4 linked regions of the Lonchura striata genome follow. The protein of the gene in region 1 interacts with the protein of each later gene in a biochemical or structural test. Links are inferred from orthologs where the notes say so. Each region holds a gene or a part of one and is shown on either strand. Other genes may lie near its edges.

Region 1 (7,061 bases):
TACTCTGAACGGTTTCAAAAGGCCTCTGGTTTCAAAAGACCTCTGGTGCCAATGCAACAGTTTGCTGCCAAAAATCCTAAGGTCATGCATGAGGCATCTGTTAACAGACTGACACTGATGTAGAGTATCAAGGGGTTTTTATTTCTTCTAAAATAAAAAGCAGTAGGAGCAACTTTTGAGTTATTATTAAAGAACTCCAAATGCTGGTATAATACCAAACCACAGTGTTACAAGACAAGACAAAACAGGCCTGTGTAACATGGCAGAAAAAAAAATTGGTTTTGTGTTTTAAGCACTAAACAATGAAAAAAAAAATTTGGCTAGAACTCCATTAAAATTAACACACAAATGAGAGAAGAGACAGCAACAGAGATGGAAAGAAGGAAACAAATTCAAAGAATGAAGCCCCAGGAGAGCAGGCAGTGCACAGAAGTAAACAAAAAAAAAAATCAGAGACGAGAATGGCAATAAGACACTGATAGGGATTTATTCTCTTCTGTATTCTTTGGACATATCCTAATGAAAGATATTTAGATCGAAGTTTCTCCTCTCTTCTTCTTTCTCTAAATATCTAGAGCATTGCTCTGGATGTTTCCAGGTCTACACTACAGAGGGAGTTTTTGGATCTGCTAGAGAGCTCTGAGACTATATCCACAGGAAAACATACATTTACCAACTGCACTGAGAAGTGGATTAAGAAAGTGAAGTGGCCTTGCCTCCACCAAGATCCTTGTTAAGAACCCAGATCAATTTACATTCTAGCAACTATCAACAATATGGGGGAGAGCTACACCCTGACAAAGTTAGTCCAAGTCTGCCCTAAGAGGCAACAGTCAAGTTACCTCTGCTGCTCGGAAAATATTTATGTTATTCTAAAGTCACAGAGTAATAACACCTGACATGAAAAACTGTATGTCTCCAGAAGTACTTGTAACTTTCAAGCATTTTTCTTGCCAATTCTGTTGCCAATGAAGAGACTGTTATTGTGCAAGAGTTGTTCATGACAGTCCAGTAGTGTCACTGCCCACAACAAAAATCAATAATGGAGAAACACGTGATTCTCACTTACTGAAGTGTATCAAGATAACTAGATACACAAAAAAACCTAACAGTAAAAGTCAAGCAGTCAAGCTGACAAAATCACTTCTACCACTCCACAGCACCGACAAAAAAATGAGATTATGACTGGCAGGTTTAATTCAACAGAAGACATATGGCAAAGAGGCCACCTGAGGGAAGAAGATTGCTGGATTTCACCAAGCTGTAAAAGACTCGTCACCATGATCAGATCTGTGGTTGGTGTGGGGTCACACCTGCAAACAACCACACCTCTCAAACCAAAAGCAATAGGTGTGCTACTCACTGCCTTCCAAAGGGCACACATGCACAGAAGCAATTAACTCCCCCCACTGCTACCACGAATGAAATCTCACAAAAATATGGTAAGCTTCTGATGTCTAGTTTTCAGTAGAGAATGATTTTCAAAATTCATCAGCCTGAGACACATGCCAGCTGAAGGAAGAAATGTTGCCTGCTAGTCACAAGGCATTGATCAAGTTTTATCTCTTCAGAAATCACAAAAACCTAATGCTGTCTCCTGCTAAACAGAGCACCCTCCAGACTAGTGCCATCAGCTGCTCCTATGCTTTTGTTAGACAATGAGGATATTTTCAGTTTGTTTAAGAGCATATTCTTCTCCCATCTCCACACAGATTTTCTGCTTAATTCCCAATGTCTAGGAACTGTTCAAATTCTTGCAAAATTATAAATGACAGCAAGCTGCCGTTGGGAACACAACCTGGATGCAAGGTATTACCAAGTGATTCTCAGTGATTTGATTATTTTAACAAGCATAGCCTTCCACCACTATAGCCCATTTTAGACTAATGTGTTTGCCAGCATCCTCTGTACCAGTAATCTCCACCCTACCCACCCCTCAAAAAAACAACCAAAAAAAAAAAAAAAAACCAAAAAAAAAAAAAAAAAAAAAAAAAACACATCTGCCCGCTAAATTAAGGACATACACCATGAACAGCTTTGCAAGTGGAAACCAGTCACGCATGTGAAGCTAATATTTTAGAGAAAATTAGATAATTCAGCTTTCTATTCTATCCTCTACCCGGCCTAACTCTTTCATCCTGTCCGGTTGTGCAACAGCATTTAAAACACACAACGCTACCTCAGGCAGGGTTCAAGTCAATCATTACACAGCGCGAATGTCACCGTTACCTCTACTGTACAGCAGCGGGCATTGAGAGCCAGACAAAACCTCTAAAATTTACCGGTTTTCCCGAAATTTTCACTCCAACAGGTGGAACACAGAAACAAAACAGTGGCGTCTGAAACGGACTGTCCCCACTACAGATAAAATCCGGGAGCGCGCTGGCGGGGCCGAAGCTCGGCGCGGCGGGGCCGAAGCTCGGCGCTGCGGGGCCGAAGCTCGGCGCTGCGGGCCCTCACAGCTCTGCAGAGGGGCGGGACGGGGGCAGGGGGCCCCTCCGCGCTGCCCGCGGCGTTCGCGCCTCGCCGGCCGCGGGAGGGGTTTTGCTGCGGAGCGGATCCCCCCGGCCGCCCCGGCCCCACCGCACCCCGCGGGGCCGGCGGCGGGCAGCCCGCCATCTTGTCCCGGGGGTCCGCCGGGGCACGGGGCTCCATGCGGAGCCGCCCCCCCCCGAGGGGCGCCCCCCGTGCCGCCCGCCCGCGGGCCCCCAGGCCCGCCCCGCCCCTCCGGGCCGCTCAGCCCTCCGGCTCCCGGCCAGCCATACCCCTCACGGCGCTGTTCTGCCCCGGCCCCATGGCTGCCGCTGCCGCTCCGCACCGCGCACGCGCCGCTGCCCAAGATGGCCGCGGGGCCGCCCCCTCAAGGCCTCCCGGCGGGGAGAGGACAGGCGGAGGTTACGGCGTGCGGGACGGGAGGGAGGAGCGGGCAGCGCTGTCACTGGCCCGACGCCCGGCGCAGGGCGCTCAGGGAGGCCTCTGCAGCTCTAACATGGGTGTTGGGCACCCTGTGCGTCCTGCGCACACGCGCTGGCTCGGCGCCGCCGTTCTCTTCTTCTGTCAGTTTTGCTCTGCAAAACGCTTAGAGCAGATCGCTCCGTGCGCCCTCTCCTCTGTAGTTGTGGAAAGATTAAGCGGAAAAGTGATATCCACCAAGTGACAGCCGCCTCGAACCTCATAAGCTTGGGTATTGATGTGAGAACTACTATACCTCAAAAAATTATTATCTAAGTTCTATACCTGGTTAATGACTCTGGGACCTCGTTTATGGTTGGACCTTATAGCAAAGATGTGTACTTATGTCTTTACAAAATGCTTCCGTAGGTGAGGGATGGGTTTTAATGTCTTTGAAATGCACCTTAATGTCTCTACCAACTTCAAGCCACAGGTTTGTTAGAGAACCCAGACAGTGTGACTCTGAAACAAATGGGTTGGCACAAGCCCGAATTTCTGAACTTTGGGGGAAAATTACATATACGAGGGGGGAATATGTGCTAGGCAGTTCGGGAAGGCTGTACCTTCCTAGTACCTCAGCCGGTGGGGAAAGAAAGAGGGCAACGTGCAGCCGGGAGTTCAGGGTAAAAGGAGGCTGCACCCTTCCAAACCTTGAGAGAGAAAATCCTGTGGGTGTGTGCCCCAGTGCACTCTGCGTGACTGCTCCGCACTGACTCGATCTTAAGAGGTCTCTTTCAACTTTAATAATTCTACGACCTGTTCAACAGACTTTTCAACCCACACGTCTACTGCTTCTCTCACACACCATGACGAATATGATACACCTTTTCCCTGTATGCAGTTTTGAAGCTTCACACGGTTACTTTCCTGTTCCTCACCTCTCCGCGTGCCGGCCGCGGCCTTCCCCCCGTGTTCATCAGACACGGACTGACCCCGCGGAGCCCGAGGGGCGGGGCGCGCCCGGCCGACGCTCCCGCGCCCGCGCAGAGCCGCTCCGCCCGCGGACTGCGCTTCCCGGCGAGCCCCGCGCGCGGCCGCGGCCCCGCATGCGCAGGAGCGCACAAAGGGCCCGGCGGCTGCGGCCCCGCCCCTCCCGCTTCCGCGGCGCGCGCTCCCGCCCCGCGCTCCCGCCCCGCGCTCCCGCCGCCTGCTTCGCGCTCCCGCCGCGCGTTCCCATGGCGCTGAAGCGGATACAAAAAGTGAGTGGGGCGAGCCGTGGGAGGGGGCGGAAAGGTTCCCCTGCCCTCGGGTAGTCGCCGGTGCTGCCCCCTCCCCGGTGCCGCGGGTTGTAGGCGGCGGCCGGACCGGGCTCAGCGAGGGGTGCCGCGGCAGCTGCTGCCGCGCGCTTGCTTTGCCGGGACTCGTCCCTGCCTCGGCGGCAGCCGGGGAAGAAGAGTGGGTGCGAGACGGAGGAGGGGGGCTCTCGCCGGCCGCCTCTCGGTTTCGGGACCCTGCCGCCCTGAAGGCCCCGCGCCCCGAGCCGGTGCTCAAGGCGCCGTTCGTGGACCGGGAGCGGGGAAAGCCGAGGTGCTGCCGGCGCCTTCAGCAGAGGCGCAGGACAACATCCGTCGCTGCCGTTGTGTAACGGGGCCGTAGGCTGGGTTAAGAAGCGTTGTCAGCACAGTTCTTGGTGTGACCTTTGAGCGTATCCCAGTGGTGGTGTTTTGGGCTGGTACTTGTAAGGGCCTGGTTGAAGTTGTGGATTCCCGGTTTCCTTTTGTTTGGCAAGGCTGAGCTGACCGCTGTGCAGTACGGACACGGTACCGCGGCCAGCACGGCTGGATTAAAGGTTAGTGCTTTGGCCGTGGAACAGAATCCCTGGTGTTTGGTTGCTGTTGATGTGCCCTGTTAAGGCGGCATTGCTGCTATCCTGGTTATGTGACGGTGCGATTATTTCTTGTGCAGGATTCCCATTTGCTGTCAGAAGCCATTGGTATTGCTGAAATAGGATTCTATAGAGATGGATTAACCCCACGGTAGGCAGATTTGGGATACCCTACAGTAGATCTCAACTTATTTTGGATGGATTTCTCTCAGAAGTTGGTAGTCCTGTCCCATGCTGCAAAGCCTATGCCTTTACACAAAGTGCAATTACAGGACAACTTTTTTCCTTCATATCACCTTTGCCATGGTTGTTGCATTCGACCACTATATCAAATATTAACAAATTACTACAATGGTTTTCTTTAGCAATAACTTTGTCGTGCTTCTACATATTATACAAATGGTTTGCCTCTTGTTGTCACTTTCATTTCCCACCTCTTCTTGAACATCTCCTTGTCCTCAGGTTTCAATAAAAGGATTGTTCTGATTACGATATCTTTCCAATTCTTGTTCAGCTTCTTTCTGCTAAAATAAACACACAAAGGGAGAAGTCTGGTAATCTAGTATTTTTGAGATGAAGTGATGATTTGGGGCTTTCTAAATGAGGTCCTGCTGGAATTGAATTAATTAGTCTTCATACTTTTATCATGTTGCCTGCATAACTTTTTTTCTTCTTTAGAGATGTTTATACATATCGGAAAGCCACAATTTTCTTTAATGTGGCATTTAAGAACTTTTGATAGATGTGAAATTATGGTTAGGCTTTTTATCTAAGTATCTTTCATTCTGTTAGCTTTATTAAATTCTGTTTCTACTCTTTCAAAATGAAGAAATGCTTTCTAACCTGCTGACTGTGAGGTGCTACGAGATTGCCTAGTTATACAATAAGTTCTATCTGAAACATGAACAGATACTGGGTAAGGTAAGTCCAAGAAGAGTTGAGATTAAATTGGAACTGGTTACCACTTGCTTCTAGTTTGCTGCAGAAATTACTACTGCTAGTTTTCTTTTTTTCCCATTAAGTACCCCCATCACTCTCTTCTGCCTTTCCAGGAGAAGAAAAAGAATTCTACCAGAGGGATTTGGCTAGAAGTCTGTTTCTTGAGAAGTAGAAAAGGAAAGGGAATGGCAAGGAAATAAATTTGTTTCAAATGGAAAGTTAAAATGGAGAAGTTTGAAAAGACAAACTGTTATGATGTCATTGTAATACATAAAATTTTCCCCAAAACTATGGAAATGGAAGTTTAACGGTAGATGAAATGCATTTGTATGTTGGTGTGTTTGTCTCACTTACTTTCCTGGTGTTTCAGACTGGCTGTAAAGGTTCATAGTTACGTTGTGTCCGAAGGATAGGAGGGGGTAAGATCTGGAGTAGAGGAAGTGCTGTGGTTTCAAAGTGCCTAGAGGAATTCTTTGGAGAACAAAACAGTGTCAGCAAACACAGCGATATTGCTTGGAGCTCATCAGTCTAGACATACTGTCTGAAGTTAAGCTTTTGTAGGTTTAGGGTGGTTCAGAACAAAGCCAAAGGATTTTAGTGTCAGCTTGAGTGTTTGTTCACAGTAACTTTGATAATTTGTCTGTTCACTGTGATAACACCTACAAAGGAAGCAAAGCTGTAATATGTCAGCCTGTTAGTAAGCATATTTTTTTGTCATACTGTCTGATTTCTAAATAATATCACCACTGGGACCTGTGTCATTGCATCCTGCCTTTGGCTAATCATCTTTGAGGGCTCCTCAAAGGAGGATAGCATGTGGACTTCCAAGACTGTACCTTAGTTACAGAAAGATATATTGTGCTTGGAAGCTTCTTTAAAAATGGGCAACTGAGTAAGCAGTGAAGAAGCTGATCACTGCACATGGAGCTATGTTGACCTTCGTGCTGTAGCTGTAAGAACAGTGAGGACATGAAGCCCTGCTCTGCAGGCACAGCTGTCAGCAGTGTCTCTGTGACAAACTCATCTCAAAGTTCCTCAGGGAGTTTTGGGTCGGGGGATTCTTACTCATCATAAACTGAGGGTCCTGTGTTCATTTGCCTTGTGTGTGTTTTGCTTTGCTGTTGTATGAGAGAGGCACTGAATTTCTATACTGTTAAAAAAGTTCAGTTACACCATCTGTGATGTTCCTTGGGGCACTGAAAGAACAACTGAGAGATTTTTGTGGGCAGTGTAAATTCCAGATGTTGCAAATGATGAAAGCAAAACAAATAATGTAGGTTTTTTAACAGAACAAATATGGTGCAAAGAAGCCTTTATTCTTGCCACCTCTGGAAAGTGAGATATC
Region 2 (7,487 bases), on another chromosome or scaffold:
CCCAGTGACCCCTCTGCTTGTGGCAGAGGCAGTGGCTGAACTGGGAGAGTTACCAGACATCCCTTTGTGGAGGCTCTCAGCTCAGTCGAAGAGAGAACAGAGAGAATTCTCTCAGGCTTCAGCCTGGGAAAGTTAGGAGAAAGAATTCAAACAATTATTATCTCTCTTTCTGTTCATGTTGTTTTTATAGACATATTCTACCACAGTGTGCACCAATAGTGTGAAAGGTTTTTACTTTGACACCAATCGTATTCCACCCTAGTGAGTCAGACTACAAAAGTACTTGCTACTTAATAAACATTCTTTAAGCCTTCTGAACCACGGGAGTCTTTTCGTCCCTCCCTGACTCAACAGCAACACCCCTTCAACATTCTTTCACTGATACTTGTTTACTTTTCAGGACATCTTTTGATAGGAGGTTCTTGCACGCCACTGTGTTTCCATTTCACTGCAAGTCTCTGGAGAGCAGGATGACCACAGGAAGTTTTTGTCATTCTGCATTCTAGAATGAAGAATTGGATTCACATTTAAATGACACATTACCTTCAAAAACAGAACATCATCACTTTCAGTTAGTGCCATCTCAATCTGATCTTTGAGAGACTGAATCTCATTCTTCTTATTTCCCAGAACGCTGTAAATATAATCAAGCTTATTCCAAACTCTCTTTTCTTCCTCTGCAATTGCTTTCATGATCTCATTTTCTCTTTCTTCAATTACAGCTTTAACTTCTGAAAACTCATTTCTGATTAATTCCATCTTTCTTGAAGCTGTCTCCTGGGGTAGACAAGAGCAGACAGGTACTGGTTTCAAAACAACAGTTTGTAAACAAAATACTCTAAGTGCTACTGCATGAAAGCCTCTGAGGAACATGTGGGCTTCTCTTCCTTTAAACAAGCAAGAGAAGAGCTGTCGATTTCTATGTGGTTTGGAAAGAAAACTTCACTCACAAGGAATGGAGCCCATTCTCAGTGTCACCCTCACGTGAGGGTATAAGACATTGCACAGTGCCTGGTTTATTCCTATGTCCCCCAGAGCTGCCTGGCCCTGCCAAAACTCCTCTTTTCTGCTGCTTCCCAGTAACACCTTCTCCTGCCAATGCAGCCTCAGCACTACAGCCCTTGTCACAAGGGTAAAATCACCAACACCATGCAGTGGCCAGCGGGTGCCAGGCAAGCCAACAGTACTCTGAGCAGTTCTCCACTTACAGCAGTTTGGTTCTGTTTTGTTTTCACCGTGCTCATTGCCCGGGCAGTTCTTTCACCCTGGTTATGCAGCTCCACAAGTTTTTTCTTCAGCATCGACTGCAACAGGAAAGACCAGAAAGTATTTCAGAGAGGCAATTGTCATGTCTGCTCTCAGTTTTGAATACTCTTGTAAGCATTTAGTACTCTCAGCTTAAAACCTACCTTTCCTTGAATCTTAGGGGGTGCAAAAGTAGCATCCTGCAAATATGGCTTGTGGCACCCACACCCTCCCCACCTCTCCCAAGAGCATATTGCCATTGCTGACACTCTCTTCACAAACGACCTATGCTTTCATCAGCACAGCAGTTCTCATGCTAAGAATAAATGTTAAATTAGCTCTCACATCAGACTTCCAGCACAGAGTTGATGCTACTGTTCACCCCTCTCCTTTTGAGAATGTTCTCTTAGATGTGATTTACCTGTTCCTTTAGTTCAAGATTCTGCTAAGCTCAATCAGGGCTATGTTCTGCAGCTACACTGTGTACACACCCACTGAACAGATGGGAGTTTGACCATCTAAACTTTTTCAGCATACTTCACTCATCCACATTGATTTTCAGCTGTGCTGGAAAATATAAAGTCCAGGTTTCCTTCCTTTCTACTCCTTCTGGCTTTCATCTACATATTTGAGGTCTCCCTAGGATACCTTTATAATTCTTCTTCTTAAGAACATCTGCAGCAGAATGTCGGCCCCTCAGGCTGTGACAAGCCGTGGCAGGGAGCAGAGCAGCAGAGGAGGCTCAGAGCTCTGGCTGACGCCACAGAGAATGGGAGCCTCGCTGGTAAACCCAGCCCAGACTAGGACAGCCCAGCCCTGTCAATCCAGCTCCCTGGCAGCGCCTTCCCAGACCCCTGCTCTTGAGCAACATCTTGGAGAGACGAGGAAAATGGAAGGAATGGCTCTGAGGACGTGCCTGAGCACATGTTGGAAGGCAGATAACAGTTTATCAATGCCAGACCGAGATTTACAGTCGATGTCTTGTTCCGGCCTCCTCCCCGCACTCCAGAGCGGCTCCCCCGGCACCGAGGGAGGCAAGGGGCGCTCCGGGGTGCCCTTGGGAGGATGTTCCAGCCCCGGCCAGCCCCGGCCGCTCACCTGGGCAGTGGCTGTTGCTTCCTCCAAGGGGCTGGTGGGGCACAGCTTGTGCCCGAGCAGGCAGAGGGAGCAGATGCAGACGCCGTGCTTGCTGCAGAAGAACTCGAAGAGCCTGTTGTGCTGGGGGCACTTGCGGAGCTGCAGGTCGCGCAGGGGCGGGCAGAGCTGGTGGTCGCGGAAGGCAGGGCTGTCGCGGTGCGGCCGCAGGTGCTCGGCGCAGAAGGACGCGGTGCAGGTCAGGCAGGTCTGCACGGCCGGCGCCTCCTGGCAGCTGTCGCAGGACACGGGGGGCTCGCCCGCCCAGCACCCCCCCGCCTCCCCATCCCCATCCCCACCCTCATTCTCCTCCTCTTCCTCGCTCTTGTCCCCGGAGCGGCCCTGGAGCTGCTCCACCACCCGGCACAGCACCGTGTTCTTCTGCAGCTGCGGGCGGGCCGCGAAGGTGGCCCGGCACTGCGGGCAGCTGAAGCCCCCCGAGAGGCCGGCCCAGCTGAGCTCCAGGCAGGAGGCGCAGAAGTTGTGCCCGCAGGGCACCGTCACGGGGCTGCTGAAGAGGCAGAGGCAGATGGAGCAGGTGAGATCCTCCTCCAGCCCCGACAGGCCCGGCTCCGACTCCAGCGCCGCCATCGCCCCGTCCGCAGCTGCCCCAGGAGCCCGAAGCAAACCTGGCCTCGGAGAAACGAAACTACGGCCGGGGCTTTCCGGAAAATTGCGTGTCATCCCCGCCCCGACGGGAGGGGCGGCAGCCGAGGGACGAACCCGGGGCGCCCGCCCATGTGGGGGCCGGGCAGCGCCGGGATGCCGGGGGCGCAGCCCCGCGGAACGGGACCCCGCGGCAGCGCCGGGCCGGGGCTCCGGGCCGGGGCTCCGGGCACCGTTCCCGGAGGTGCCCGGGGCCGCGGGGTCGGCTCTAACCGCAGCGGAGCGTTCGGGGCGCTGCCCGGCCCGCTCCGGCTCAGGGCAACCCGGGACAGCAGCGCTCCGCCCGGGCTCAGGGAGTGCTGAACCCAAATCGCCCCGAGCACCGCCCCAGCTGCTCCGAGTTTTGGGTCAGATGGGTGCTGGAAATCCTACGGACTCATAGGTTTGGGTTGGAAAGGACCTTAAAAATAATCTGTTTGCAACAGGTGATGTCAGGGCAACGTTTTCAAAGCACACAGGTTACTGATTTGTGATTGTGGAAACCATCTGAACAGGAGATGCTTCCTCAGATTTCTTTTTCTTAGTCTAACTGTTCAATAATCACCATTTCTAACAGGAACACTGATGCTGAATAGCAACATGGCAAGTACTCCTGTCTTAACTAACTTGACCACAAATTGTTCCAGTGGCCTCTTCCTCCTCCCTCTTCTGCCCTGTCTGCTGGTGTCCCAGGGATTTCCTTGGGACCCTCTATATTTTTCCACCCATGCTGGCAGCAGGGATAAAAGGAGCAGCCTGGCACAAAGTCTGTGACCCCCCAATAATTTAAACAGAACCTGATGGCCTGCAGCAGAAGGAGCCATGTGCTCTCAACTCTTGTCCAGTGGGCAAAGAACACCTTGTGTGGAGAACTGCTGAGCTTCCCTTTAATGTAATTTAAAAGTATTAGCAGGCCATCTTGTTGGCGTTAGTTCTTGGGGACTTCCAAGAATGTTCAGGAGTTAAACAGAATCACAGAATGAACTAGGTTGAAAGAGACTTTTAAGATCATCTAGTCCAACCTATGACCTAAACTAACACCTCCTTATCAACTAAACCATGGCACTAACTGCCACATCCAGTCTGTTTTTTAAACTACAGGGATGATGATTCCACCACCTCCCTGGACAGACGATTCCAGTGCCCAACCACTCTTTCAGTGAAGAATTTCTTTCTAACATCTAACCTAAACTTGCCTTGGGGCAGCTTAAGGATGTATCCTCTGGTTCTGTCAGTGCTGCCTGGTGAAAGAGCCCAACCCCACCTGAGCACATCCACCTTTCAGGGAGTTGTACAGAGTGATAAGGTCACCCCTGAGTCTCCTTTTCTCCAGGCTGAGCACCCCCAGCTCCCTCAGCCGTTCCTCACAGGGCTTGTGTTCCCAGCCCTCTCCAGCCCTGTTGCCTCCTCTGGATGGGCTCAAAGGTCTCAACGTCCTTCCCAAACTGAGGGGACAGAACTGGACACAGCACTCAAGGTGTGCTCCCACCAGTGCCGAGTACAGGGGGAGAATAACTTCCCTGGCCACTGTTGCTGATACAGGCCAGGGGCTATTGGCCTTTTTGGCCATCTGGGCACACTGCTGGCTCATGCTCATGCTCAATATAAAGCACTCAAAAGAAGCAATGTTGGGTGGTCTGTTACAAGTGAAATCAGCTCCTAGCCAGTTCTTTTGGACTATTAAATTAAATTTGGAGAATCATTGTAAAGCTGTGTTGTACAGATAACATGGACTTGTACCTACACCAGTTATCCCTCCAGCCTTTTAACACTCCTTCAGGATAAGCTGCAGAGGGGTTGTGTGTCACAGGGCTCTGAGTCACTGCCCAGTAACAGATACAGGCGCAGAACCGACAATGGAGGCATTGGGAGCTGCAGGGCTGTGACAGGAGCAAAAGTTCAGGATCAGCTCTGTCATGTGCTCGAGGGTGGAGTTTCTAGGAAATGCGCACGGTGCCACAGGTTTACAGCATGGTTGGGATGTGCTGATCAGGACTTTGTAACTGCTGTTACAAGAAATGTAAACACCTGATGGGGTGGCTGAGAGGGATGGCAAAGGAACACTCTCAGAGAGCTGTGCTGTGCATGAGATGGGACAAAAGAGCAGCTCTTAATGTTTGCATTTTTTATTTTTCCACAGGTTCCTCAGTCCAGATAAGCCCACCCTGGGCTTATCTGGACTAAACCTCTGTCATCTTTCAAACACTCAGCACCTTCACTGTATTTTCTGTGGCACTCATATGGAATCAGCTGATATAGACAAAGGTATGCAAATAAAAAAGGTAAATATAAACCCTCACAACTGCAGCTTCTGCTTCTGGAGCATGGCACGGAATGTTTAGAGTTCAGATGAGCAATTTAAGTTCCACATTGTCAAAGATGGCTTGAGATTCTGGTTTGGAGAAAGCCCAACCACTCCTGTTGTCTATGAGACAATAAATTTTAACATAAAAAAATTATTGCTAGCATTTGAATAGCTATTTAAGTTATTACTCACTTCTGCTTGCAAATACTTGAGAACTTCCTGTGATTCCAAACTGAAACTAACCCTTTGCCCAGCCACTGCACATTCCAAGTACCCCGCAGAGCTTAAGCAGGGCTTTAGAAGCACAGTGGGATAAAAGGCACCTCACATTCCTGCCCCCAGCAAGGGGGCTGAGCGATGGGAGAGCCCCAGGGACAGACAGGCAGCAGTGAGGGTTTGCTCAGTGTTTCACCACCTCCTTGTGGGATTCACGTGCACATTGTCCCATCCCAGATTCCTCAGAGCAGGATGTGGATGGGACAGGCAGGGCTCTTGGCAGTTCCCTCAGATTGCCTGCCCTTGGTCTGATTTGACTTGCTAACAGTGGGTAAATAAAACTCAAGATTTTACCTTCAAAACACCCTCTCTTCTCAGGGGTGTATTTATTTTCCAGCATCACCCGTGTGGCACAGCCAGAGGGACTCAAAATCATGCCAAAAATGGAGGCAATGGAACAACAGGTACTGTGAAACATTTGCATTTAGCTTTTGCAACTTCCTAAGAATTAACAAGTAACAATTCCCTTAGAAAAAGAATCTTTCCATTAATCCTCACTGTCTGAGCATGACTGTGCTCCTGTTTGACATCCTCTTTTCATTCAGTTTGCAAGAACAGCCACACAAATCTAACCAAACTGTTATCTAAAAAAGCAAATCCTAGCATGAAATAATGGTATCTAAAGTGAACCACAAAACACAAATACATTTTACTTGTATAAAAACGATTCCTTCACAAACAAGGCATTTTACTAGGGCTGATGCAAAAATGCACAGAACTTTAATGGATTCATGCACTAGGTCAGAGTACATGACAGCTAAACCATAATCTACAAATTTTCAGGTCTTTGTATCTAGGGTTGCTTTTTCACATGTCTTTCCTGTAGGAGGCAGCTACCTAGCACAGGGATTATCTGAAAGTGTAAGACTTGCCAAGGCTCCAGAGGTACAAGGTCCCCCTCAATGCTAATAATAATTATTAGAGCTGTCAGTGCAGCGCCTTGCCAGCACCTGGTGACCCATTGTGCTGCTGGAAAGAAGTAGAAAGAAGAAAAAAAGAAGAAAGGAAAGAAGCAGGAAGAAGAAAGGCAGCACAGCAACTTCATCACTTAAAGGGCAAGAGGGTTTTCTCTAAAACCAACAATAAAGGCTTTCAGAGCCTACATGGATTAACACAGCAGGACACAATTGTGCCAGGGGTTCATGTTGTATTTCACTGGTTCTAAGCAAAGTTGACAGTCACCAGTGCTATTTATTTGCCTCAAAATTACAGAAACCTTGAAATCCACATGCTTTTCTGGATATGTTTAGGTGAACTCTTTAAGTAACTACAGCATCACAGCATCTGTATGCTGTGGCAACAGCAGAGGGACAGTTCTGCACATCAACAATATTTATAATAAATTTTTAAATGAAAGTGACTTCTGGCAGTCACACAGCTCTAGCCAAACCCAGACATTTAAACAATTACTCACAGTACAGGGTTGTGTTTTATCTTTTAATCAAACCATTCCAGTTCTGCAGCCTGGTACAGTAGAAATATTCAAACCCAACAGGTCTACATTAGACTTCCTATAATAAACAAAGTTTTCATGTATTACATAAAAACATAACCTAAGGGAAAAAAAACATTTTTCTTCTGGCCTACTTCTTTTAAGACAGTAACATCCATCAGTGCACCTGCCACCCTCAGAACCAGAAGACAGCACTTCATAGAACAGATCTGTACAATTGTTCACATCTTTTCACACACTAGATGTTCCGTTTGCAACGCTGGATCCGTTCACTGGAGGCTCCACAATCAGTCTTGGCTCTATCAGCGCATCCCAGCTCTCAGTTATCTGAAAACAAACCACAGGCAGCACTTGGCAGGTGCCAGCAGCACCAGCAGATGCAATTTCTGTGCTGTTATGCTTTTGCCTGGACCACTGAACCAAGATCAC
Region 3 (6,931 bases), on another chromosome or scaffold:
GAAACAATTGAATGGGAATTTTGCCTTTTATTTTTTATTTTTTATTTTTTATTTTTTATTTTTTATTTTTTATTTTTTATTTTTATTTTTGCTTTTTTTTTTCCTGAGGAAGGTGGGCAGAGTGCAGGGGGAAAACTTGATGTTTCGCAGTTTATGATGAGTTTCTGTTCTCTGCTATGCTCCTCCTCCACACAGCCATCCCAGAATTCAGCCAATTTTCCACCTGACACTCAGCACAGGCTGGAAGACTGAGCCAGTTTTCCTAATTTTTCAGTGATGCTGAGCATCCTGCCCTAGATATTGTGTGGAGCAGTCACGGGAGGAAGAGGAGAAACCCCAAATCCCCCTCAAAGAGCAGAACTGTTGGCACAGGATCACGGTCTGTCCCTGCCTGCTCCTGCTACCCTTCATTCTTATTTTTGCTACATTTCCCAGCTGTTTTTCAGTGCTAAAAACAGCTGGGAAGGAATAAAGAGGAATCCCCCTTGGGCTTGGATTCTCTTAAGCTGTGGTTCTGTTTTCTTCAGAGGAGAAATAAAGCGTGGAACCGAATTTCCTCAAAGTTAATTCCCCAAGCTGGGATGTAGGTCACGTTGCTTTGTCTGAGGCTGAGCTGAGCTCTAAATAGAAATTGGTTTTTTCCCTGAAAAGTGGGAGCACGCTCATCCCTGCTGCTTTATCCAGGTCATTGCCTCCGAAGGTAACACCGGTGCCTCTTCCAGGCTCTGCTTTTAAGGAGAGGATTCTCCAAAACAAATTTTTTTCCCCTGTATTAAACATGCAAAACAGGACATGCACTTGGGGGAATTATTTTATATTTTATGATTTTGTATATTTTAGAATGTATACATTCATATATTTAATATATTTATTGTTTTATACAATATGTATTATTAATATAATTATTTTTATTATATACAAGATCATATTCTATATTCTATATTGTTGTCTATTATATATATTTATCTATTTATATATGTATATATATTATGATCTATTATATATGATTATTATACTATATATACACACTATTACTATATATATACTATATATACTATATTATATATATACTATATATATACACTATATATACACACTATATATATACACACTATATATACTATTATTATATATACTATATATAATATTATACTATTATATTCTATATTTATATATTATATTTTTGTATTTTATATTTTATTTTTATATATATTAAAATATATTTATATATATAGATATGTAGAATGATATTTTATATATAGATATGTAGAATGATATTTTATATATAGATATAGATATAGAGATAGATAGATAGATAGATAGATAGATAGATAGATAGATAGATAATTTAAAAAAAAATATTTTATAGAGATATTTTATACCTGAAAACACATTTTGGGCAGCCTGTTTTCCCCTCAATCACCAATACATTTTTATCCCACCCATACATTTTGATCTCATGAAATATTCACCTTCCAAGAACATCACAAAAGCACCGAGTGGCCCCAGTTTTCCACGTGCCAGGTCTGGAAGGTGCAAAATATTAAGGAGATTTTTTTGGGAGGGAAAAAAGGCAATTTTTTTTCCCCAAAAAAACCAAAAAAAGGGTAAATGCACATAGCCTGGTGACCCTGGAGTGGCTTCCATGGCTGCCCGGAGGTGCAGAAGGAAGCCCATGAATATTGAATATTTCTATGGAACAGCGGCATCCAGCGGGCAGAGAACGATTCCTGCTGAAACCCTTGGAAAACCGGGATAGGAGCACGGAAAAACAGAGGTTTCTCCCCAATATTCAGTGCTATTTTCCTTCAAATCCAAGCTGTGTTTTCGTTGCTGCATTTTGGGCTGGTGATATCTGATAAAGTAACGTTGCAAATAGTCAATTTTATTTTTAATTTCATTTTTAAAAGAGAGACTAGCTTGATTTTTTTCAAATTTTAAACAATTTATTTTAATTTTTGTTTTTAGAGAGAGATTAGCTTGAATTTTAATTATTTTCAACTTTAAACTATTTAATTTTTAATTTCTATTTTTTAAAGAGAGATCAGCTTGAATTTGAATTCTTTTCAATTTAAAAACATTTCGGTTTTAATTTTTATTTTTTAAAAGAGAGATTATCTTTAATTTATTTTTTTTTAAAGTTGTATAATATTTTGGTTTTATTTTTTAAAGAGAAATTAGCTTGGGAAAAAAAAAAACCCAACCTGACATAACTCAGAGCCTGGATATGCAAGCTTAGAACAAGCACTGACAAAAGTAAGTGCTGAATTATCTCAGTATTTATTGAGTGAGCCCAAAACCCTATGGATGGATCTCCACAACTGGTGCTGACTGCACTCACCTGCATTCCTCTTTACATTTACACTAACGTAAATAATTTTTACATTTACATTAACATAAATTCATTTTTACACCTGCATTAACATAAATCTGCCTGGCAAGAACCGAGCTGAGGGAAGACCAGAGCACGCTCTGAGCACATCCCAAACATTCCCTGGCACTCCCTTCTCACCCTCTGGCCAAAGGCCGATGGAAAACGCCGTGCCAGCACCAAGGCACATCAACCCCCTGGTTCCAAAATTCACATTTTTCCAGTTGGTGCGTTTAGCTGGCCCGGCCAACGCAGAGGACGAGGGACAGCGAGTCCTCCAGGCTGTACGGAGCGGCAGCAGCTGGGTTTGCACCGGTCCTTTGCAGCCTGCAGCCCCAGAGTTCAGGCTCTGACGCTGCCGCAGCCATCGGCTCTCTGCGGCGCCCACAGCCGCTCCGCCCGGCCGCGGCGGGCGCTGCCCCGGGCTTTCCCGCATCCCCGGGCCGGGCCGGGCCGGGCCGAGCCGAGCCGGGCTGAGCCGAGCCGGGCTGAGCCGGGCCGAGCCGAGCCGGGCCGGGGCGAGCCGGGGCGAGCCGAGCCGGGCCGAGCCGAGCCGGGCCGAGCCGGGCCGAGCCGAGCCGAGCCGAGCCGAGCCGAGCCGAGCCGGGCCGAGCCGAGCCGAGCCGGGCCGGGCCGAGCCGAGCCGGGCCGGGCCGGGGCGAGCCGGGCCGGGCCGAGCCGGGCCGAGCCGGGCCGGGCCGGGCCGAGCCGGGCCGAGCCGAGCCGGGCCGAGCCGAGCCGGGCCGGGCCGAGCCGAGCCGGGCCGAGCCGAGCCGAGCCGAGCCGGGCCGGGCCGGGCCGGGCCGGGCCGAGCCGAGCCGGGCCGAGCCGAGCCGGGCCGGGCCGGGCCGGGCCGAGCCGGGCCGAGCCGAGCCGGGCCGAGCCGAGCCGAGCCGGGCCGAGCCGAGCCGGGCCGGGCCGAGCCGGGCCGAGCCGGGCCGAGCCGGGCCGGGCCGGGGCCGAGCCGAGCCGAGCCGGGCCGGGCCGAGCCGAGCCGAGCCGAGCCGGGCCGGGCCCGGGGCTGCCGTGAGCTCCCGTGGGCTCCCCTTGGGTTCCCCTTGGCTCCCCTTGGGCTCCCCTTGGGCTCCCGTGGGCTCCCGTGGGCTCCCCTTGGGCTGTCCGTGGACTCCCCTTGGGCTCCCCGTGGGCTCCCCGTGGGCTCCCCTTGGCTCCCGTGGGCTGCCCGTGGGCTCCCCGTGGGCTCCCCGTGGGCTCCCCGTGGGCTCCCCTTGGCTCCCGTGGGCTGCCCGTGGGCTCCCGTGGGCTCCCGTGGGCTCCCGTGGGCTCCCGTGGGCTGCCGGGAGTTGTAGTCGCAGCGCCCGGGGCGGAACTACAGCTCCCGGCTGCCCGCGGGAGCGCAGGCGGGGCGGCCCCGGGGCCGAGCTGCGGCGGGGACGCGGCCCTGCCCGGGGACACACGGGCCCGCGGCGGGGCTCCGGGACACACGGGCCCGCGGCTCCGGGACACACGGGCCCGCGGCGGGGCTCCGGGACACACGGGCCCGCGGCTCCGGGACACACGGACCCGCGGCGGGGCTCCGGGACACACGGGCCCGCGGCTCCGGGACACACGGGCCCGCGGCTCCGGGACACACGGACCCGCGGCGGGGCTCGGGCAGGGCTGTTTTGCCGCAGCCGCCCCGGCAGCAGGGCGGATCGCAGCCCCCGTGCCCGGCTTCGCCCGCGCTCTCCGCCCGCCCGGGCGGGGATGGAGCAGGGACGGCGCCGGGCTGGTGGCTCCGGGGATCCTCGGCTCTGCCTCGGCGCTGAGGTACGTGCCCGGCTTTACACCGCGGGGAGTGTTCCCTCGGGATGGGGCAGCGGCCGGGGTGCTTCTGGCCTCTTCACCGGGGTGCTTCTGGCCCCTTGAGCCGGGGTTCGGGTCGCTTTAGCCGGCGTGGTGCTGGTCCTTCAGTCACAGTGGTTGTGGCAGCTTTAGCCGGGATTGAGGCCCCTATACCGGGTGGTTCTGGCGCCTTTAGCCCGGGTGGTTCTGGCCCCTCTAGCCGGGATTGAGGCCCGTATACCGGGGTGGTTCTGGCCCCTTTAGCCCGGGTGGTTCTGGCACATTTAGCCCGGGTGTTCTGGCCCCTTTAGCCCGGGTGGTTCTGGCACATTTAGCCCGGGTGTTCTGGCCCCTTTAGCCCGGGTGGTTCTGGCCCCTTTAGCCTACGTGTTCTGGCCCCTGTAGCCGGGATTGAGGCCCGTATACCGGGGTGGTTTTGGCACCTTTCAGCCCGGGTGGTTTTGGCACCTTTAGCCGAGCTGGTTCCATCACCTTTCGGCAGGATTGAGGCCGCTTTAGGGGGGTGGTTCCGGCCCCTTTATCCCGGGTGGTTCCAGCCCCTTTATCCCGGGTGGTTCTGGCAGCTTTAGCCAGGATTGAGGCCACTTTAGAGAGAGTGGTTGTGGCACCTTTATCCCAGGTGGTTCTGGCAGCTTTAGCCGGGATTGAGGCTGCTTCAGCCGGGGTGGTTCTGGCAGCTTTAGCCAGGCTGGTTCCATCACTTTTAGCCTGGATTGAGGCCCCTTTAGCCCGGGTGGTTCTGGCCCCTTTAGCCCAGGTGGTTTTGGCCCCTTTGGCCCGCGTGGTTCTGACCCCTCTAGCCTGGGTGGTTCTGATTGCTTTAGCCTGGGTGGTTCTGGCCCCTTTGGCCCGGGTGGTTCTGTCCCCTTGGCCGGGACTGAGGCCGCACCCGGCGCTGCTGTGCTCCAGCTTTCCCGGTGCTTTCCTGGGCGCCCTGGAGGTGGGAGCAGCCGTGCTGTTCCGTGCTGTTCCCATGCTGTTCTGTGCTGTTCCCGTGCTGTTCCCGTGCTGTTCCCGTGCTGTTCCCGTGCTGTTCCGTGCTGTTCCGTGCTGTTCCCGTGCTGTTCCCGTGCTGTTCCCGTGCTGTTCTGTGCTGTTCCCGTGCTGTTCCCATGCTGTTCCGTGCTGTTCCGTGCTGTTCCGTGCTGTTCTGTGCTGTTCCGTGCTGTTCCCGTGCTGTTCCCGTGCTGTTCCGTGCTGTTCCCATGCTGTTCCGTGCTGTTCCCGTCCTGTTCCTGACAGGTACTGCAGGTAAGGCCGGGCTGCCTGAGCTGGGGGCAGCAATTCCTGCTGGGAATTTCATTTTCCCTGGAGCATGTGAGGAAGGAAGCTCGAAGCTGAGGCACATGGGGCTTTTTCTCTGCCGTGTTTCTGGATTTCCAGTCTGCCTGAGTGGAGGCAGAAAGGGCCAGACTAAATAAATAAACCCAGAGAAGTTGGTGCAGCTGTGCTGGAGGCACTGAAGGTGTTTGCTGTCATTTCACTGCCCATGCTCTGCTGCAGAATTACTTTCTGAATGTCACAAATTCTGATTTCTACCTCATTGAGAAGCAAGTGAGCCCTGGCTCACCTTCATGGAGGTCACTTGAGCTTGGCTTTACTGCTGAACCTTCTCTCTTTTTGGCTAAGAGCCTCATGACATCCTCTGCACTTCTCTGTTGCTATAGGAGGAGTGTATTTGGCTCAAATGAGATACCATTTTTATTTCTCCTCTGTTTAGAAACTCCCTGGTTTCCTGAAACTGCTTGCTGTGAAGAATGATGCAGTTGTTCATCCTTCTAGGACTTTCCTCCAATGCTTGATTACCTGTTGAATTTTTCATTCATGGTTTCAGGATCTGGAGGAGTGAATTGTCGAGGGATGCAGCTCCTGTAAATAAACCACATCTCACATTTTTATGGTGGGAATGATGCTGTGTGACAGGCAGATAATGGAGATAAGAAAGGGGAAGCTTCCACAGCCTTGGAGGAGCTGGAGAGGTTCTTGCCCTGTTTTGAGCTTTGCTTTCTGCTCTGAATTCTGGGTGTGTAGATTTGAGTCTGGAGCAGGTGACATCTTTTGGGCACCTGATGGTTCCTTTAGTAAGTTCTTTTTTAACTTACAGGGCAATATTTGGGTATCAGATAACTCTCTGTACTCTCAGCTCTACCACTAACAGGCGTTAGTACCTTACGCCTGTTTTTCAGATTATTTAATTCTGTGGTGGAAGATCAGGAGTTCCTTTAGGCTGCCTGCAGCATTATTAACAAACTGTCATTTACCAACATCACCACAGGCTCTGTTTTATTGAAGAGTTATTTTCTTTTTAGGCTTCACAAAGGTGAATGTGTTTCCTATGCTCTCCTCTTTGCACAGCACAGCTCTGTGAGTCACTGCCATGAGAAGGAGCTTCATATTTGTGTGATACTTGGCTCAGCACAATTCTCTGCTTATTCTGATTTTGCTGTACAGCATCATATGTTTTGACATTTATTTTGAGTGCATGTTTGGAGCTCTGTGCCTGCGAAAATCCTGTGCCAAATCCGTGTGTGAAGAATCTGTTATTCTCCTGCTTTGGTCTGCAATGGGCACTGCTGGGATTGTTTGGAAGAACTGGGATGCCTTTTCCACTAAAACTTTGTCAAATGTCTGGGAAACTGCAAGAAACTGTGGGAGTACTGTAAGTGTGGTGATTGCAGTTGTCTCCTTCCCTTTTTTCTTGGGAAGAGGGATGTCCATGGCTTTTTCAGCTGCCTTGATGTGGAAGTGGGTGGC
Region 4 (7,253 bases), on another chromosome or scaffold:
GTGTGCAGACATCCAAAATCAAACCCCAGGCACTGGGAAATCTTCTGGATTTCCTTTTCCCAGCATGGGAACTCTGTATGTCTCTGGTGGTGGAGAAGAAAAGCTTTTTCCAGAGATCCTGCCTGCCTCAAGGAATGCGGGAGCAGGAAAGAGGCTGGGTGGGATGGGAGGTTCACCCTGAATCTGCAGGCGGTTTGTGGTGTGGGGCACCAGCACTTTCACAGCATTTTGGTATCACGAATCAGGGCTTGTCACGAGGAGATGCTGCAAGTTCTTGTGGAGGCTGAGTACATGTGGCTGCTGTCCCTGGCTTCTCCCAGCCACGGCTGTGGGGCTGAGGTGGAATCAATCAGAGCCTGTGGATGCTCCATGACAAACTCCCTGTGCCCAGAGGCGATGCTCCCATAAATCCTGTAAGCATGTGCTTAACTTTGGGGAGCAAGGTGATTGCAAGGCAATATTTTATTCTTGTCAGCTTCAGTGTTAACAGTTACCAGAATCACTTGGGTAATTAAGCTCTTGTAAGAATAAAGTGAAAAAGCACCAGGTGTCTATGGAGATCTAAATCATTTTTCAGAGTGGGCAGAAGAGCAGTTTTTGGCTTTCCTCAGTAGCTGGAGTCCTAAAATCCCCAGAGACAGTGCAGATCCCCTCCAAATGAGGTAAAGGCAGCAGCCCTGCTTTTCTCAGGTACATTTTGGCAACCACCTACAAGAAACTGGTGGGTGACCAGGGCTTCGTACGTGACCATTGATTGGAAATTTCAAAATAAAGAAAGGCCTTTTGCAAAAGGCATGGCTAAAATTTTATTCCAAAAGGTATTTTTGAGATGCATTAGTGTAACTGTTGCTGGAGTAACCGGCTGCAAAATGCTGATGCCTGTCTTGCAGTTGGGAAAGATAAGGCTGGGACTGTAGAAGGTGAACTGATTTCCTTTATCTGTGGGACGTCATTGGGATGATCTCATCACTGTTTATAAATATTTATTACTGGGATCATAGCATGGTTTGGGTAGGAAGGTAGGTCCCTACCTCTAAAAATATCTTGTTCCAGCACCTGCCGTGGACAGAGGCACCTTCCACTAGCCCAGGGTACTCCAAGCCCTGTCCAACCTGGCCTTGGACACTTCCACCATCTCCTCTGGGCAACCTGTTCCAGAGCCTCTCCACCCTCACAGGGAACAATTTCTCCCCAGTATCCCATTGAACCCTGCCCTCTGGATGTGGGAAGCCGTTCCCTGTGTCCTGTCCCTCCATTTCTTCCCCAAGTCCCTCTCCAGCTCTCCTGGAGCGCCTTCAGGCCCTGGCAGGGGCTCTGAGCTCTCCCTGGAGCCTGCACCCCCAGCTCTCCCAGCCTGGCTGCAGAACCTCCTTTCTCTGGGCTCCATGCAAGACTCTGGGCTGAGCTCTGCAGCTTTGGCTAGGGCCAGGACAGGGCTGTGGGGAAGTTCTTGGAGCACCTGGAGATGGCCAGTCCCTGTTCCCAGGAACAGCTGCTTCCCAAACACGCACCCAGGTCTGTCCCCGAGGGGAAGATCACCTCAGCCAAGGATTTTTGTGTTCAAAGCTACCAAAGTTCAATAAAGCCAAACCTCATTGTTTGATCAGTGCCTTTCTTGGGGTCCCGTGTTCAAATGAGCAGCCCCAAAATGGCTTGTGCCTTGTCATTGTTGGCCAGGAGCTGGGCATGCCACCAGCTGAACAAGACTAGCTCAGAGTCCCAGGGGGTGACACACAGTCCCCCGTGGGGAAGAAGCAGCGGGTGAGGACCTGGAGCAATCCCCTGAGCCCACACATGATGTGTGAGGTGGGACCAGCCTGGCAGATGTCCAGATGGTGCATCTGGAGCTGAACCAAGTGAGGGCTACTTACATTTATGTAGGGCAGGATGATTAAAGCTCTGGCCTTTGCAATTCCACCTAAGTTGGGTAATTAGAGAACTGGCTTTATTGACTGGGTAGCATGGCATGAGGCAATGAGCATGCCCAGTCCACACCCCCTGTGTGCTTGACCTGAGCAGAGCAGAGCTCAGGGTGCTGCCTGTGTGTCTGAAGGTACAGCCGGGTACCCAGCAGGGATTCTAGAGACATCTCCCAGGCCATTGGACACTTAATCTCCCCGGACCCCTGAGGGCACCTGCATGTGTAAACCCCTGTCACTGCAGCCATCATAATGCTGTGTTTCAGCAGGAAATAAACATCCTTTGGGATGCAGCTTCTAATTTTCTTCCTGTTTCACAAGGGATTTGTGTGAGACAGAAGCAGGAAGCAGGATCCTGCTGCAGCAGATGACTCCTGTCCCAAAGAGCTGATGAAATTTGTCACACCTACACCACATACTACCCTGATGAATCTCATCTTCATCCTGGCAGAGTAACGTCACCACATCCAGATGACCCCACTTCACTCTGAGAAGGAATTATTCCCCAGGGCATGAGGAAGTGGAAGGTGAGCACCAGTGGGAGAAGGTGGCCCTGGAGCCCTCCCGGGGCTGTGCCAAGCTCTCACATCCATGTTGAGCAGTGGTGGAGAGGGGGGAGCAGCTGGTTCTCCTCTGGGCCAGACTGCAGCCTTGTTTCCAAGCCAACCGGAGTTCCGTGAGCTCCCTGAATGGCTGCAGACAATGAGCCCAGCAAGCCTCCTCCATATCAGGCTGAGCACAGCTGATGCTGGAGGCAGGGAAGGCTGAGACAAAGGGTGCTCAGCCCCTGCAGCACCTCAGTGCCCATCCTGCCCTTTGCTAGCAGCTCAAGTTCAGGTGAGAGGTTCTGGCAGGGATGAGACCACGCGGGAACAGCATTTCTGAACTGCCCAGGGCACTTCTCAACCCAGAAGGTAAAAAAGTCTATCCCTGGTCTGGGGATGAAACCTCAGGTGTTTTTCTCTCTGCAAAATGCCAAATTAACAGAGAATAAAGGGAATCAAACCTGGCACCAGTGAAAACCCAGTAGCACCATCTTCACAGACCAGAAGGCAACACTGGAGCACAGTGAGGGTCATCCCAGGGGTGGTGGGCTCATATTTATCCCATGGAATGGTTAGAAATTTCTGCCTGGAGGGTCTCAGTGCAATGTTATTCTGATTTTGAGGCAGTGCAACCTATTTTCCTATACCTTTCCCTCACATTCCCCTCATATTTGTATCACATTGTCCTCACAAGTCGCTTGCTAGAGACCACTCAATTTAATGGTTGCATTGGGAGTCTTCTCCACACTTGACCCACAGTACACTTCAGAAGGGCTCCATGCCCCAGCTCCACCTCATGTCTCATCACTGGGCAGAAGGAGAAGCTGGTAACCCTCCCAAACCTTCTGCTTCCCCACCCCTCCAGCTTCATCAGAACTGTAGGGATAGGACAGTATAATGGGTACAAACTGAAAAAGGGACATTTTAAGTCACATACTGAGGAGAAATTGTTCCCTGTGAGGGTGGTGAGGTCCTGGCACAGGGTGCCCAGAGCAGCTGTGGCTGCCCCTGGATCCCTGGCAGTGCCCAAGGCCAGGCTGGACAGGGCTTCGAGCAGCCTGGGACAGTGGAAGGTGTCCCTGCCCATGGTAGGGGGTGTAATGAGGTGAGCTTTAAGGTCCATTCCAATCACTTAATATTTGTGGCACCAGGAGCAGCTGAGGGAGCTGGGGGAGCTGGAGAAAAGGAGGCTCAGGAGGGACCTTCTGGCTCTGCACAACTCCCTGGCAGGAGAGGACAGCTGGGGAGGTCAGGCTCTGCTTCCAGGGGACAGGACAAGAGGAGACGTCCTCAAGCTGTAGACTTGAGGTTAGGCTTGGGTTGGACATCAGGAGGAATTTCTTCATGGAAAAGGTTGTCAGGCATTAGATGGGGAGATGGTGGAGTCCCCATCCGTAGAGACGTCCAAGGAAGGACTGGACGTGGCACTCAGTGCCGTGGTCCGGTTGGCAGGATGATGTTGGGTCTCAGGTTGGACTCGACGGTCTCGGCGATCTTTCCCACCACAGCGGGTGCGGTGTTTCCGCGGCGCTTCCCGCCCGCAGCCGCCCTGGCGCCGCGCCACACTCAACATGGCGGCGGCGGCATGAGGCGGGCGGGGGCTGGGTGGGGGCGTGTCGCGCACCCAAGATGGCGGCGGCGGGCGGGGTGAGATGGCGGCGGGCGCGCAGGCGCGGGCGGGCGGCGGTGACGCGCGGGGCGCGCGGTGACGGAGCGCGGCGGCCGCGGCCCTTTGTTGGCGGCGGTTGAGGCGCGGCGGGGCCGGGCCGGGCCGGGGCCAACGGCGGCGGCGGCGGGGCCGGGCGCGGGGAGGCCGCGGGAGCCGCCGCCGCTCCCTCAGCGCCTCGCCATGGACTCGGACGAGGGGTACAACTACGAGTTCGACGAGGACGAGGAGTGCAGCGAGGACAGCGGCGCGGAGGAGGACGAGGAGGACGAGGAAGAAGACGAGCCCGACGATAATCTGGACCTGGGCGAAGTGGAGCTGGTGGAGCCCGGGCTGCGCGTCGGCGGAGAGCGCGACGGGCTGTTGGGCAGCGACACGGGCGGGCTGGGCCCCGGCGGTGGCGGCGGCGGCGGTGGCCTGGGCGGCGGACCGGGCCCCGGCGGCGGCCCCGAGCAGGAGGAGGATTATCGCTACGAGGTGCTGACGGCCGAGCAGATCCTGCAGCACATGGTGGAGTGCATCCGCGAGGTCAACGAGGTCATCCAGGTGCGGCCCCCCGGCACCGGGACTGGGGCGGACGCACGGGGGAAGGGGCGCGGGGGGTGGCGGGCCGGGCCGGCGGCCTCCTGCGGGCACCGGGCCGGCCCGTCCGCGGCCAGGGCCTCACACACACTTGCCGGTAACCCCCGGGGCTGGAGGGGGCTCAACTCGGTATCCTCCGACGCTGGAGGGGTGGGGGGACGCCTCCTCTCGGTACACCCTGGGGGTGGAGAGGGCTCCTCGTCACCCCCGTCTCCCGGGAGGCCCCTCGGGCACGGCTAGGATCTCGCTTCCTGCTGTGGAAGCGTCGGGAACGAGGCCTTTGGCACTGAAAGGGCTCCTCTTTGTGTGGTGGCGAGCTGGGGGCCGTAATCTATGTTTTTGTCTTTATTCCGCTCCGTTCTCATGGTGTTTGGCAAGGTGTAGCTCCTCCAGCTCCTTCGGTAACCCGCGGAGTCCATGGCAAGCCCTGGAATTCCAGGAGAGGCACCGCTCTGGTTTTGTTGCCGTCTCCCTTCCCTTCCCCCCTCCACGCATAGAGGTTGAACCTTGTGTTTATTTCCAGCAGAGACCAGGAGGGGTACGAGCAATCCCTTCACAACCGTAACTTTTTTTACTCTCAGTCTTTAAGCCTGTCTCTTTAAGACTGAAATAGAGTTTGAAATAACATTTACCTTCTTTAGATCAAAGTATCTAAGTCTTATTTCTTGGCTCCTAAGTTTTTTGGGGAAAAAAAACAAGCCATTGAAGCGGTTTAGCATCCCTTTCTAAATGTTCGTGGCAAGGTTCGGCTCTAGCTCACCATCAAGTTCCTGTTGCAGTTCACTTTTCTTCAGGTGATGGGATTTCTTTAGTTCCCATATACTTTACGATTACTCAGAGTCGGTAGGCAGTGCTACCCTTTTCCAGTATGCCAACGGGAATAGCATGAGAAATCTGTGCATAGGAAGTAATGAGGGATCCAGTGTCCAGAAAGGAGTTGTTTTGCTGGTTGTGTGTGTTGGTAAATCTCTTTAAACACGAGATGCCTCAGTGAATGTTTTTTCTCTGGCTGTCCTCTGCAGTGGCTGTAACAGCAACTTTAAAATATTGCTTTATGTGCTATAATCCCCTGTAGTTTGTACAGAGCTTGATGCAAACAGCTGTAAAAATATTTGCATGCTAAATTAGTAAATGGCATTCCTTGAGTCAAATTAAAGTTTATAACTTTACTGATAGCATTGCCCATGTAAAGGTGAATAAAGGAGTCTGCCCGGATTAGCTGATTACCCTGCAGTTAAAGAAGATCTCATGGTTAAACAGGGATGTTTATTTGCTCCTAGTTATCGATCCTGATGTAGGGAGGGAAACAGTTGGCAGGCAGACATGCAAACAGTGGGGACCTTCAGCTTTTTACTCTTTCAAATAGTCATTAAAATAGTGAGTCTGTGTTTAATGATTAAGATTGCAAAAGTCATGGCCCATTCTGTTTGTATTGAACAGACTCTGCCATATTCCTTATCTTTGCATAAGACAAGTGGTGGAAAAGTTGCTGCCAGTGAAGAGCTGAGAGTGTTCCTGCTCCTGAATTTTCCAGACCCAGCTGGTGGACTCACCTGCATATTCTTCATGAACTAATTTGTTAGAGAAGGTCCTGATTACTGGTCTGAGTAGATTTGCCCTCCTCTTACACCACCCTGAAGCTGTTTGACTTGTGTGCTCGACCTGTGAGTTGCAGAAATAGTGGAGAGAAATGGGTTGAGGTGATGAGCCCCTTGTTCTGTCCCATCCCCGGGGTGTCAGCGGGAGGCCTGACCCTGTGCTGGGCTCTGCAGAACCACCCCCCTCGACCTTCCCGTGGCTTCTCTCCTGCTCCAGTTGCTGCTTGGGGTTTGCAGTAGTTCCTCCTGGTTTAGCAGAGAAGGGTGCACAAAGTCTGTTTAGATTGTCATGGGTTAAGTCGGGGCCCAAAACCAACTTAGGCCCTGGAATGCATCAGGAGATATTAGGAAAGCACTCGGTTGCCCTGGATGGCTGTTAAATGCCAGCTTCCTGCCATTAGATTTCTGGGCTCTTCCGAGGTAAGTGGCCTGACTTCTGCCGATACTTCAGGAGTTGCTCATAAGTTGCTCATCCTCACTCCTGTGGCTGCTGGTGAAATCTTCCAGGGCTCAGTTCTGTTTATTTCCTTGTGTTTGGCAGCCAACCAGGATTGCTGCTGCTGCTTTTCTGGTTCAGTAAACCTTTTCTGGAGTCACATTGGCTTGGGATCCTGCTGCGGATTCTGGGTTGCTGAGCTGTGATTCACTTGTTCCAGTCAAGTACTGGATGGCTTTTGGTCTGTGTGTGTCTGCCGTGGGTTCTTGTTAGCAAATAGTGATGGTTGTGGTTACATTTTTGAGTGCTTTGAACTTACTTGTTCAAGGGAGATGTAATGTACAGCCTGAAAACTTCAGCTGTGGGTCTTGTGCTCTCTAATGGGTGATTTTTTTTTTTGCTGATCAAGTGTAAGGTATAAATGGGGTTTTGTTTTGCAGCTGCAGTGAAAGGAAAATAGAACAGGGACCCACAGAGTATTTGCAAGGAGGTATCTGAGTCATGGCA

What was found.
Region 2: the proteins of UBE2D1 (region 1) and TRIM25 form a complex in vitro, tested with the Homo sapiens proteins (8 studies listed by BioGRID). The link is inferred for Lonchura striata from reciprocal best matches to the Homo sapiens genes UBE2D1 and TRIM25.
Region 3: the proteins of UBE2D1 (region 1) and MIB2 form a complex in vitro, tested with the Homo sapiens proteins (2 studies listed by BioGRID). The link is inferred for Lonchura striata from reciprocal best matches to the Homo sapiens genes UBE2D1 and MIB2.
Region 4: the proteins of UBE2D1 (region 1) and ARIH1 form a complex in vitro, tested with the Homo sapiens proteins (4 studies listed by BioGRID). The link is inferred for Lonchura striata from reciprocal best matches to the Homo sapiens genes UBE2D1 and ARIH1.

The regions. Positions count from the first base shown.
Region 1 is NC_134609.1:2,765,079-2,772,139, forward strand, and holds the start of UBE2D1 (ubiquitin-conjugating enzyme E2 D1), read left to right. Parts: upstream 1-4,043; 5' UTR 4,044-4,127; coding exon 4,128-4,151; intron 4,152-7,061. Other genes in the region: CISD1 (CDGSH iron-sulfur domain-containing protein 1), read right to left, coding at 2,766-2,796.
Region 2 is NC_134621.1:7,694,468-7,701,954, forward strand, and holds the start of TRIM25 (E3 ubiquitin/ISG15 ligase TRIM25), read right to left. Parts: upstream 3,004-7,487; 5' UTR 2,971-3,003; coding exon 2,344-2,970; intron 1,305-2,343; coding exon 1,209-1,304; intron 778-1,208; coding exon 544-777; intron 1-543. Other genes in the region: COIL (coilin), read right to left, coding at 7,290-7,385.
Region 3 is NC_134626.1:2,459,609-2,466,539, forward strand, and holds the start of MIB2 (E3 ubiquitin-protein ligase MIB2), read left to right. Parts: upstream 1-3,909; 5' UTR 3,910-4,141; intron 4,142-6,931. UniProt on the Homo sapiens protein: E3 ubiquitin-protein ligase that mediates ubiquitination of Delta receptors, which act as ligands of Notch proteins.
Region 4 is NC_134613.1:6,955,098-6,962,350, reverse strand, and holds the start of ARIH1 (E3 ubiquitin-protein ligase ARIH1), read left to right. Parts: upstream 1-4,240; 5' UTR 4,241-4,313; coding exon 4,314-4,676; intron 4,677-7,253. UniProt on the Homo sapiens protein: E3 ubiquitin-protein ligase, which catalyzes ubiquitination of target proteins together with ubiquitin-conjugating enzyme E2 UBE2L3.